Drosophila melanogaster: one gene and its partner. The protein of the gene in region 1 interacts with the protein of each later gene in a pairwise test. Each region holds a gene or a part of one and is shown on either strand. Other genes may lie near its edges.

Region 1 (7,855 bases):
GATTTATGATCATTTCACAAATACCACACGTAAGTGGAAAATGTAAAAAAATAAACGAAATGGTCGAGATACCAAAAAAAAAAAATAAAAAGGGGGTTATCTCAATGTCGTGGCTTACACCCAAAGCCTTTTAATGCGGCGGAAATTCATGAGAATGAAGTTGGAAACTCCAGCAATGTCATGTCGCAATATTCTCTGAATTTTTTGTTGGATTTTTTGGATCCCTAGAATCTTATCAAGCCACTTCACAGGCTGGAGAAGTGGCCAGCAGATATAGATACAGATAGTAATCTGGCTTGTTGGACAACCCAATAATAATCGAACAAAATTAACGACAGATTCGCTAAAATCGCAGAGAATCGCCGACGACGATCCTCGAATTCGAATCGCGGCTCTGTTTGCAATCCCATCACGCAGTCGCAAATGGAATGGGTATAGCAATAGATATATAGATATAGATATATAGACTATATTGCCGATATGCTGAGTGCGTCATCGAAGAGCTTGCTAATCGAAAGAATTCCGTACCCTCAAATTGGCAGCACTAATTACTAATTTCAGTTGTCGCTGCCGGCAACGGAAGCAAGCGAAGAAGACAGCTCTTCTTTGGAGCAAATAAAAAAAATGACACTTTCCGATCATTATTAATGGGTTTGGTTATCAGAAAGTGTGGCAATGGAACGTTGACAATTTGCCAATGTCTGTGCCCGATTGTTTAAACAAATCGCAGCGCGCCGAGGTTTTCCAAAACACCAAGTAAGCCAATAATAACAATTTAACGTTTACAAACGAACAAGCGGCCTTTATCATCGGCATATAATCATCAGAGTTGTCGGTCTGATAACAGCCATACGGTGCTGGCTCATAAATGGCTTTCGATTTCGCCAGTTAAACGCTAATGTGGCCAAGAGGATCGGCTACCGCAGGATTAGCAAGCATTGCTAAACTGAATCATATTTAACATATATCTATAGAGCCATAGAATTGGCTGATATAGCGGCTATATCGATATAATGTAATGCGTACAAAATGGCTGATTAAATCTCAAACACTGATAACACACAACGAGTGCCCAAATTTGGCAAATGATTTACATTATTCGGCAATTTTCCCAATGAGCGATTGAGATTGTGTACGATACGCTGCACTCACAGGTGACAGATGGTTGCTAATTGTTGTTGCTGTTTCGCGAATATTTGGGCGCACCAACTATGAATAACGAATGTGTGTGTGTCGCCCGAAAATCAGTAAACTAATAACCGTTTCCGCTGAGCGATTCTCGAATACTGAGCGCCAAAGGGAGCACTCCATAAATCGGTTGTGTTGTGTTCTGGCGCTGTGTGAGCGGTGATAAGGAAAGTTTACTCCCATCGCGAATGTGTGTGTAAGATAACAACAAAGTCGGTTTACAATTAGCAAACTGCAGTGTTGACTATCGAATTGGGATGTGTTATAAATAAATAGCAATACTTATATGGCATAAATAATTGGAAACCCATTTTGTTCACTCACGGATAGGCGTTGTGGTTCCGCAAAAAAAAAGCTGACGAAGGTCCATTTCCTTATCAGCATTTTAAATAGCGCGCCAATTTTTTAAGCTGTTCACACTGCGCTTGCATGGAAGTAGGGCTTAAGTTATGGCAACTCGTTCTTTACTCAATGGTTTCAGTCCTTAGGTCTTATATAAGATATAAAAAGTATTTAGAAGTTATTATACATATTTTTATTAACATTTTTCTACATTCCTAGTCACATCGATAGCTAATCGCTGTCATCGATAGTCCCGTGATGTTTTTTGAGCTGCTTCCACTGCGGTCACACTAATCGAAGCATTTTCGTCCGCTCGTCACTTTTCTGCGTAATTCTTTTCGTATATTTCGATTAAACATAAATAAATAAGCGTAATTATAAATATATGAAATACTAAATTGTTGTAAGTAACGTTCGCTGCATAATAAGAACAAACACCGAGTCGCCGCGTTGTAAATAGAACACCCAAGCAAAATGGATTTTTCGCAACCAACCCGTGTAATGGGCTATTGGGAGAAATGAAGAAAAAAAAACGTCATATGTACAAAACTGCCAATGGCAAAGTGTTAGTTCGCGCATTATGTACCAAGCATGTCGGTTGGAGTCGGAAAATATAATATACTATATGTGCGCTTGGATATTTGTCCTTTTTCCCCATTATGCATATTGCCTTTGGGACATTTCTTTCTCTTGGCCCCCTCTCTCTATCCAAGATGGCCGTCGTAACAGTATTTTCGTTCAAACTGTTGTTGTTATTGTGTTTGTTATTGAAAAGAGAATGAAAAAACAAGCGAAAGAGTTATGCAAATTATGCACAAAAAAAGTAGTGTGTTGAACAAAAAGACGATCAGTAAATAAGTGGAGAAACGAACTATGATTACATTTTATTTACAACCACCAGAAAGCGATGACACATCGAGTGCGTTGGTGTGCGTGCGCGAGTGTGTGTGTGTGTGCGAGTGACGATGTCTGTGGATTTTCGCGCATGTTTGGAGTCCTCCCCCTCGCCAAAAGTAGAATTGATCGATTTTTAGCCAAGTCGAGTCCCCGAACTGGCCGATTCCTTGCATATATGTACTTCCCGTTCCCCCATAGGCCAACAACACCTATTACTGGGCAAACCAGTTCTGCCAATGCACAAGAAATCTCGTTTTATTTTCTTCGTTGTGCTTGTGTAGTTGTTTTTGTTTTTTTTTTACAGTTTTCCGTTTTGGGCTTTTTTGCTGCGGCATTCTTTTAGATATTCAAGACCCGTTGCGATTTCCCAGAATGTGTGGAAAGCGCTCCTGACACTGCAAATTGTTTCTATTATCTAGTGACGAGCTTTTTGCACGTTTCCAGCAGTGGGTTAAAGAAAGGCAAAGCAAAAAGTCTCGGCACTTAACGGTTAGTCCCTGCATTCGATGCCCGTCGTGGGGTTAAAGCTGGAGTTCAAAGCTTTTTTGGCTATTGTTTTCCTTTTTCCTCTCTCTTTTTGCACTTGAAATTGCAATTGCATTTGCTCGCCGGCGCGTGTGTGAGTGTGTGCTAATCAATGAAACACGCAAATAAACAAGCAAAGGCAAGTGCAAGGTCTGTTTGCCAGAGCGGGAGAGAGAGAATAAGCAAGCGAATTCAAACGAAAGGGGGAGTGAGAGGAAGAGAAAGATCCTTAAAATTCAAGACCTTACTGTGTGTGTGTGTGTGTTCGTTGCAGCCCTGGTCTATGCCCCTTGCCAACTATCTCGCTCTCACGCCCACCCAAAACCATTTAAAATTCAAATATTAAATTAACTTGAGCAAGTGCAACAATGAGAATCCCATATGATTTTTACTGATTTAGTAACATTTCTGGTGTGGCGTGCGACCCAAACGCCCCCTTCCCATTGTTTTCATTCCCCCATATGGCACACACCCACAGCTTTACGGTTACAATGCGCATGGCTTTGTGTTTCGGAATGCCTGGTTGCCACAACACAAACAGTGTTGACTTCGTTCGATGGTTTAAGGGACCCCCCACTATCTTAACCCCACTTTGCTGCCCACGCTCCACTTTTCCATTAATACCCGTGACGCTCGCAACGCTTTTCATCGATTTTCCTGGGATATATTTAGATGCGCAGTTAGAGCGCAGCCAAACATCCACCCACAATATTCAAATGATGAGCGCCAAGTGCTCGAATACAGCTGATAAGCCCTATAGGAGTAGTTCAAGTCGCGTCCAGCCGAATGACTCACGGCTATATTGAGTGGCCGTTTCGAATCGGATTCGGCTGTGAACCCGTTTGGTCAGTTTTTGCTTGTCTTTTTTTTTTGCCATATTTGCTAGTTCAAAAAAATCGTTAAATATCATTTGGCCAAAAATAATTTGGAAACGTCATTTCCTAGACCGTGATGTGTGAGCGTGTCTCTCACAGGTGGGGCCATGAAATTAGTAATGAATTCGAGATATTTAGGTCTTGTTTATGTTTTCATAACACCTATTAATTTAATGATCATATAGCCAATAACTATTTAGCACAAATAAAAGAAACAGCTGAATTAGTTTTTATGCTATCAATTGCACCTCTGGTGCCCGTGTTTGTTCTGCTTCTTCGCTCGCACGCTCTTTCGCAGCCTTATTTACCTATAAGAAGTTGCTTGAACTACCGTTAAGTCTGGCTAATTGGCTTTGCCTTGTCGTGGATTTTCCTTCGCTAGTATATTCGTTGGCAACGCGTCAGTTGTCCATCGTTATCAAGTACGCGAGATATGCGTTAGCTATTTGTTTCCGATTGCTGTTGTTATATTGCGTGCTATACCCATGATTTGGCCACCTTGAGTTGATTAAAAAGGTTTTGCAGTCAAAAAAACATGGGCACTAAACAAACAAATAGCGCACCCATATGATTTCTGCCTAATTCCATGTGAAATCGACCCTTGAACTCACCGATGACGAGTGCAGTTCGATTGCAGGGGTTACCAAATGCTGCTGCTGCTTCGCTTCAAGCATTGCCAAAGTTTCGATTATTATTTTTTTTTTGCCCACTTATTCGAGGCACGGGCAACACAAAAATGTGTGCCAGAAACCAAAGACACGATGATAATGATGATGCTCCGCTTTGGGAGAATGAAACAATATAATGACTAGACGAAAGGTGAGCATAGGAAACAGAAATACTGCTGCCAAAAAAATTCAAGAAAATGTGGGTGACTCGCCTGCCCTCCATGAGAACTCAAACGAAACTTGCTGGCATTTTTGGCATTTAGGTTTTGCGAAACCAATTTCCTGTCCCAGGTACATCAAATCATCATATGATTATACAGTAGAAGTTCGATAGATGAACCAAAAATTATACATAACTCTGTCTAACGAAATGGTTTGCAAGATATGTATATAGGAAATATATCTTGTATCTGACTGTGGTAAGAACTGCTGTACACATATTGAATGTCTACCTTTTCCATTGCAGAATTGCAAGAGTTGAAGGCGGATAACCGAATTGCGAACGAGAGAAGCAAAACAAGCCAAATCGGAAAACAGTATGAAAATGGTGTTGTCGCAGCGGCAGCGCGAGGAGCTGTAAGTCCCAGTCGTCTTATATAACTATTACCCCATGAACTAATCCTTTTAATTGTATCGCCATCAGTAACCAAGCGATTGCCGATTATCTGGGCTCAAATGGCTACGCCGACTCATTGGAGACCTTCCGCAAGGAGGCCGATCTCAGCACAGAAGTGGAAAAGAAATTTGGCGGACTGTTGGAAAAGAAGTGGACGTCCGTGATTCGGCTGCAGAAGAAAGTGATGGAACTAGAGGCTAAGCTCACTGAAGCTGAGAAGGAGGTCATCGAGGGGGCGCCCACAAAGAACAAACGGACGCCTGGCGAGTGGATACCTCGGCCGCCAGAGAAGTTCTCCCTGACCGGTCATCGTGCCAGCATAACGAGGGTAAGTTGAGAAGTTAACAAATTAATAAACATTTTACATTTACATTTTATAATTGCAGGTAATTTTCCACCCCATCTTTGCTCTTATGGTTTCCGCATCCGAAGACGCCACCATTAGGATTTGGGACTTCGAAACTGGCGAGTACGAACGCAGCCTGAAGGGACACACGGACTCTGTGCAGGATGTCGCATTTGATGCCCAGGGCAAGCTTTTGGGTAAGATCTTGCCATAGTTGAATATATAGTAAAACCAATTTAATTTTGCTTTAATTGCAACAGCCTCCTGCAGCGCGGACTTATCCATCAAATTGTGGGATTTCCAGCAGAGCTACGAGTGTATCAAAACTATGCATGGTCACGATCACAATGTCTCGTCGGTGGCCTTTGTGCCGGCCGGAGATTATGTACTCTCTGCATCCCGGGACCGCACTATTAAAATGTGGGAGGTGGCCACAGGGTGAGTTAAAGAAAAAGGACATTTCGTTTAAGGGATAATATGACCAACATGTGACTTCTCATCCTCAGCTACTGTGTGAAAACCTACACAGGCCATCGAGAGTGGGTGCGAATGGTGCGAGTGCACATCGAAGGCAGCATCTTTGCCACATGCTCAAATGATCAGACAATACGTGTTTGGTTGACGAATTCAAAAGACTGCAAGGTGAGCATTGCCATGTGCAGCTTCTGCTGGCAATGAAGAGTCTAACGACGGTTTGATTCTTCTGCAGGTTGAATTACGCGATCATGAGCATACTGTGGAGTGCATTGCCTGGGCGCCGGAAGCCGCAGCCTCTGCGATAAACGAGGCAGCCGGAGCAGACAACAAGAAGGGCCATCACCAGGGCCCGTTCCTGGCCTCCGGCTCTCGCGACAAAACCATTCGCATTTGGGACGTGAGCGTCGGCCTGTGCCTGCTTACCCTGAGTGGCCATGACAATTGGGTGCGTGGCCTGGCATTCCATCCTGGTGGCAAATACTTGGTGTCGGCCAGCGATGACAAGACCATTCGGGTGTGGGACTTGCGCAACAAGCGATGCATGAAGACGCTATACGCGCATCAGCATTTCTGCACCTCCATAGGTGGGTCCACACAAGGCATTGTGTGTATGAACTATATATTTTAATTGTCATCCGTTTTCTTGCAGATTTTCACAAAGCGCATCCGTACGTAATTAGCGGTAGCGTAGATCAAACAGTAAAGGTCTGGGAATGTCGTTAAATTAAGGAAGAATCGGCAAGGGTTCTGCTTACTTCTCAATTTAAACATAAATAAAGCTAATATATTAAATCACATACCCACACAACACGCCCATACACGAGCAGTCTCGGCCACCTCCGCGGAAGTTTATTTTCCAGACGCTTTCTGTGTCAGCGTAAAATGAACATATTGTATTTTAAAACTGAATGAAACTGGCGAAAACGAATTATTTATTTAATTGTACGACCTTCTAACTAAACTAACTACCTACCTACTATACAAAGTACATAAACAAAATGCCCAAAAAATACATACATACGATTATCGTTTAAAGTTAATGCCGCCCTCCTTTATAAACCAGCATTGGCTCGCTAAGCAAACGGGCATCCTAACTTGAATTTGTCGTAGAATTCGATGAGAATGGAACGTATTTACAATGGTAAACTGTATTTCATTCGACGGCTAATACCATGTGTACCATGTGGCGCAGAAATGTTTTTCCATCCACAAATGTACCCGAGCACTCGCACTCACTTGAAAAAAATTCAATGACGTTGATGTGTTTTAGTGTTTGCAAAATGTATGCATAATAATAGCTAAATTCACTGGAAAATTTATATAAGCAAGGAAGTATTTCAACATCTAAGAAAACTTGTACTCACAAAGAGAAGTTTGTTAATGAGAATTACTTGGAGAGGAGTGCAACATGCTTTTTATCATAATTGAGGTAGTTTTAACGATAACAGTTTGCTTCTTTTAACCATATTCACTTTACACAATTCCTGTTTTGTGTTCTTTTTCGCGAAAGGATCTTCAACAAAAACAAATACCTTTCAAAATGCTTACAAATTTAAGTTGGCTTTAAGTTCAAAATATAATTTACTTTTACGGTTTACATAGTAGAAAAATGCTGCAAATTTATTTGTAATTGTTTATTTAAGAGCAACGGCAAAAAATATACCTATATATAAATATACTATAAATAATTATTTGTGCAAAACCGAGAAATCATATAGATGTATCTGAGAAAACAAAAACAAAACGCAGAAAAATCCAACAATTAGAAGAAACGATTTTTCGGATTCAAAGAAATCTAATTATTGAAAACAATAAAAACTTGCTTCTTCAAGAAACCAGAAAAAAATATGTTTATACCCAGAACTAAAAATGGTGGATTTCTGTCAAGGGTATAATTAATGTATTGCCTGCGATGTCAAAT
Region 2 (4,982 bases), on another chromosome or scaffold:
AAACTTAATTAATGCGAACAGTAACATTAAAGTAACGTAACGTAAACGTAAAGCCAACTGAACAGTATCCCGCCCTAGGTGATTGGGTTTCGGATTTGGGGTTTGTGGATCACGCTGAACTGCAGAATCCACACTACTCGGCATCCAGCGAGAAGCAAGGCAGTCCGGCCAGCGCCGGATGTGTGGATTGCTGGGAGGAGCGGTGTCGCTGCGGCATTGGCTGACCATTCTCGCGGTACGTCTTCAGTTTCGTCTCCATCGCCTAAAAAAAAAACACAAAACGAGAGCGGATTAAGCAACAGTCAGTGAACTATATGAAAAATTAACTATAGAAGGATTTGGGCACATCATATAATAAATAAATTAATGAAAATTTCATTTCGCAACGGTTTGCCCAGTGCAGAGTTTAGTCAGCAAGCCAAGTTATTATGCGCTTTCGAAACTGAATAAATCATAACGAACAAAAACAAAGAACATAAAATAAGGTACAAATAAATTTTGTATTTATTAACCAATGCAATTAATAAATGCAAGCGGAGGGCAACTAAAATTAGCCTTAAAGTTCCGAGCGCATTGTCAGAGCGGCAGGCTGGCGTCCGGCGAGTTTCGCATGCGCTCGGCGAAGCGCCTAAAAATGTTTGAGCCCGCACTGAGGCTTCCGGCGGAGCTGCAATCGCTGGTGGGCGTGGACTGGGCGCTACTGGTGGCCACTGAGCTGCTGCTGCCGCCAAAGGCGCGGCGAAAAAGACTTGCCTCGCTGGCCGATGGCGGCGGCGGCGGCTGCACACTTGCCGGGCGCTCACACATGCAGCGAAACTTTTCGCACTCGGGACATAGCAGTGCCTTGTCCCACTAAAAACATAGGGAAAAACACATAAGCCGATGGTGGGAGTGAAGGGTTCAAGGATCATATGTACATACGAAACAATGGATGAGGTAGGATGGCATGCTGGACTTATAGTTTGCGGAGGGACTTACGTTTAGTTTTCTTAACATGTCGGCCACAATGTTGAGCGCCGTTGTGCGGGAGCTGGGGTTCATGGAATTGCCATTGATTTGATTCTCGGGATCTGCAAGAGGAAGCACACGTACACAGCATGTTAGTCGAGAGGTTAGTTAGGTCAACTACTAGCTACAGACGCAAACACAAATCGTACAAAAATCGCCTACAAGAAATGTTGCAAACTCTTTCGTCACATTTGGGCTCTTAATTTTAATAATTTACAATACAATTACAAATTATGAGGAACTTAAGCGGGCTACATTTTTTGGTTAACAAGTAAAAAAGAAACAAATGGAAAAACAATACTAAATGCATGGCTTGAACGTTTGGCGATTCGTCTTGGACAGTTTTAGCGCGCGTCTGGTTTTCTTTAGGGAACTTAGTATCTTACTCTTAAGCGAATGCTGCTGGTTATATTCGTTTCTATTAACTAAACTGCCATTGAGGGCGTTGACGCTGACGCTGGTGGCTCTTGTGGCGACAGCATTGTCGTGTTTTACCAATTCGCCATTGGCAACAATACCATTTGGCAGCGAGGCGGACGAGTTCATCGAGCTGTTGACCGTATTTGTGTCGTTTGCCGTGGGAACGCTCGTTCCATTGACCACTGGGGTAAAGCGTGACTTGACGTTCAGCTCTTGTTTGAGATCTGCAATAGATTTGATGAATTAGTTTTAAAGTCTGTGCTGGACATCTGGTATAGATGCATCCACCTCTCGTCTCATCCATTAATCGCTGTAGTTTTTCCTGCAGCAATCCCTTTTCATCCACTTCCAGCTCCAGAAGGGCGTTCTTCTCGTAGGCCTGATCCAGCATCTTCTCGAAATTCTCTATGCTTTCGTTAAGTATGCGATGGGCACGTTCCAAATCGTCGTTTTTCTGCTCCAGCTGCCGCAGGTACACCTTCATGGTGTCGCGATCCTTCTTCACCGTTTCCAGCTGTTTCTCCATGTTTGACATATCGATGCCATGCGATTCCAACTTGAGCTGAGAATGAAATAGTTGTAAAGACTAATCTTGTCGGGAGCTCAAAGCCACATATACGCAAACTGAGTCTAAGAATTAAGCTCAGTTTGTGTAAATCGGGCTTAGCTTATAGCTACCTTGAGAGACTCGTTTTCCCGCTCAAACATTGTGAGTTTGGCTGTGAGATCTTTGATTATACTCTGCTTCTGGTCCAGAGTGGCGTCCATTTCTATTTCCATTTCGCGGGACTGCTCCACAAACTCGTCGTACTCCTGTTTCACGTCTGTCCACCTGAAAATTAAAAGTAAAACTAGGCTATATGGCTGATTTCGGAGACTGTAATAGGGATGGGCACTTACTCTTTGTGGTACTGCTTAGATCGTTCCTTCCAATATCTGCACTCATCTTCCACACTATTGAACATCGGGGGCGACTCCATTTCTGCAAATTTTCCTTAGCTGCTAACTCCTTTTTCTGGTTTTTGTGTACTAATCGGCGGTCAAAATGGGTTTGTAATTTCGTTCGTTCGAATTGATTTAACTTTTAATTTCTGAACAATGCTATGTACTACGGTTGGTCTATTACTGTTTGGGTTATTTATTCGTGTTTTTTGGCTGCTTTGTTTTTAATTGCTGTGATTAAAATGCCAAAACACAGTTGTTGTTCAAGTCGTAGTTTTACTTTTTTTTTGTTTTGTGTGTTGGGGGTGGTGAATAGACTAGAAGTCGGCGAAGAAAAGTGAAAAATCAATTAGGAACAGGTGTTTGCCCTGAATTTTGTAGTTACTGTTGCTGTTGTTCTTGTTCGATGCCCTAAAAGGGCAGTCGGTTTTGTCCATATCAAATGTAAATAAAATCAAATTAAACAAAACTCATTTTTGTGACGCAGCTGCTGCGGCAACAACAACGAAAACAACGAGGATGATGGTGATGAGCAGCAGCAACAACAACAACAACAAATAGCTACGACGAAGTTTCCCATACAACAACGCACTGCATGGAAATGAAATCATCGGTGATTTTTTCGTAGAATTCCAGTGTTTATACCTAGAATTTTATACAGCACGACTGTCCACATTTACTACTTACACTTTGCACTTAATTTTGCTACGTTTTGTTTGTTTTATTTACATAAAATCAGTGTAAATAGTTATGCTCGTAAAAATTTACCACTACTCCAAAAACGCACAAGCCAACCCTGGCTTGGGTTGCCAGTGTTGGCCAATAGATGGGCATTTGCCGTTTCCAGCCCTGGTCAACAGTTGTTATTTGAAATTTAATCAACATATAAAGTTTTACTCGGCTTTTTTTTGCGTTTACGTAGTTTTCTTATATATTCCAAATCATATTTCTCTAATGGACGTGCTGTGAACGTTATCGATTTGTTGGCCGGCGCATCGTTGCTGGTATCGTCCGAAATATGAAACTCAGAGTCGGAACTATCTTCAATTATTTGAGCTGAGCTTAGTGTTAAATCACGAGTGGAGCTGGGAGTTTGTGGCAGTGCTGCAACATTTTCGCCAACTACGCGCATGGGCAGCGCATGATAATGATATGATACATTTCGACAGGATTTGCGGCGTAGTTTGTGTTTTCTGCTTGTTTCAAAGTCACTTGAACTTGTGGACGTGTTATCGTCCCCACTATTTGAGCCTTCCCCGCTTACAGAATCCTTATTGTCAATTTTATTGGAGTTTTTCGTGATTTTAGACATATTTGTTTTAAGCCGCGCTGGATTGTTTTGGTTCCAAAAATGAACAATTTTTCGCTGATCTGTTTCTGGTTCTTTACCAAGTACAACGATGTGGCAACTCCCTGGCAGGGCCGCAACTGAAAAATCTCAAACGGGACATCGTTGCCAGATAGCTAGCCAGAGTGTGGCCAGATCGCAGCGACTGCAGTGCATTTTCAACAAAAATAAGGTAAAATATAGCACAATTATGGCCAGCAATTGTTAAACAATTAACGCAATTGCCAGTATTATAACCAAATGTCAACTGTGTGAGTGCGACAATCGAGCTCGCGTGGGCGTTGCACATGCAGCATCATCGAATTGATTAATTGCGGCGCATGCCGAAAAGTGAAAAAAGGGAGGATGTGTTTCAATCAACGCGAGTGAAAACCGCGACGAACGAAGAAAAAAAAAACCAAACTACTGCGGCAATCGTGAACAAAGAGCTCGTTGCGTCCGAAATTATGTGGCACAGCAACTAAACTATTGGATTTCCCACTCATTTTCCAGTTGAAATCAACGCGTTGCAGCAGCCCCCGCAGCAACAGCAACAACAAAACAAAGGCAACTGGAAGTGCAGCCTAACGGGAATTGCTCCAGCATATAGAGATTATAGTCCACACATATAAATATCCATTTATCGGAAGATAGTCCACAATGGCGGATCCAGAGCGACAAAGCCTGATCAACAAGGACGACGGCAATGGCTACAATTCCGTGGACGCCGTGGACGAGGGTGCCGATAATCCCGGCAGCAACTCATCGGTGGCCACAAACGAGGACGGTGCGTATCGTTACTGTAAAGCCGGGCATTCAACCCGCATCCAATCAGCCGGGCGGGCAACCCATTGGAAGCCCAACAAGTGTGCGGGCGCTCCACTTATCCGGATCCAACGCCGTGATTCCGAGTTGTCTGCTCGCCGTCTCATTTGGCATTTTCACACTTCACCCAACTGAGTCATAAATGCGTGTGGTTTGGTGCGGGGGGAGAGCAATGGGACTGCACAGAAAGAAAAACTGATAGGATATGTGGTGCCCAAATGCCATTTTAAATTATCTGCCATTTTTTTATTTTTTAATAGGGCCCAGTATTATTGGTATTACCAAAAATTTACAACCTAATATAAAATTTTCTTATTGGCCTAAATATCAAATGGGCCACGTACACCATAAAAAAAATGTAATTTTATCACGAAATTGTGAAGAGCTGCCAAAAATGTAAAGATCGATTGTAGTTAGTTACTCGACGCCGGTATCGGCAAAATTTTTGCACCGCCTTTGT

The links.
Region 2: the proteins of Lis-1 (region 1) and nudE interact in a two-hybrid assay, tested with the Drosophila melanogaster proteins (one study listed by BioGRID).

Annotation. Positions count from the first base shown.
Region 1 is NT_033778.4:16,177,020-16,184,874, forward strand, and holds the start of Lis-1 (Lissencephaly-1), read left to right. Parts: upstream 1-1,806; 5' UTR 1,807-1,933; intron 1,934-2,313; exon of another isoform or gene 2,314-2,353; intron 2,354-4,229; exon of another isoform or gene 4,230-4,786; intron 4,787-4,961; 5' UTR 4,962-5,033; coding exon 5,034-5,071; intron 5,072-5,138; coding exon 5,139-5,439; intron 5,440-5,497; coding exon 5,498-5,654; intron 5,655-5,717; coding exon 5,718-5,895; intron 5,896-5,963; coding exon 5,964-6,099; intron 6,100-6,166; coding exon 6,167-6,518; intron 6,519-6,583; coding exon 6,584-6,657; 3' UTR 6,658-7,855. UniProt on the Drosophila melanogaster protein: Positively regulates the activity of the minus-end directed microtubule motor protein dynein. May enhance dynein-mediated microtubule sliding by targeting dynein to the microtubule plus end.
Region 2 is NT_037436.4:9,897,431-9,902,412, reverse strand, and holds nudE (nudE), read right to left. Parts: upstream 3,173-4,982; 5' UTR 3,058-3,172; exon of another isoform or gene 3,026-3,057; intron 2,688-3,025; 5' UTR 2,409-2,687; coding exon 2,329-2,408; intron 2,261-2,328; coding exon 2,107-2,260; intron 1,991-2,106; coding exon 1,717-1,990; intron 1,653-1,716; coding exon 1,395-1,652; coding exon of another isoform or gene 1,309-1,394; exon of another isoform or gene 1,216-1,308; intron 1,071-1,215; coding exon 979-1,070; intron 853-978; coding exon 577-852; 3' UTR 501-576; downstream 1-500. Other genes in the region: CG46387 (uncharacterized protein), read right to left, coding at 3,245-3,682; CG6707 (uncharacterized protein), read left to right, coding at 4,358-4,484. UniProt on the Drosophila melanogaster protein: Chaperone protein with functions in nuclear localization. Required for centrosome duplication and formation and function of the mitotic spindle.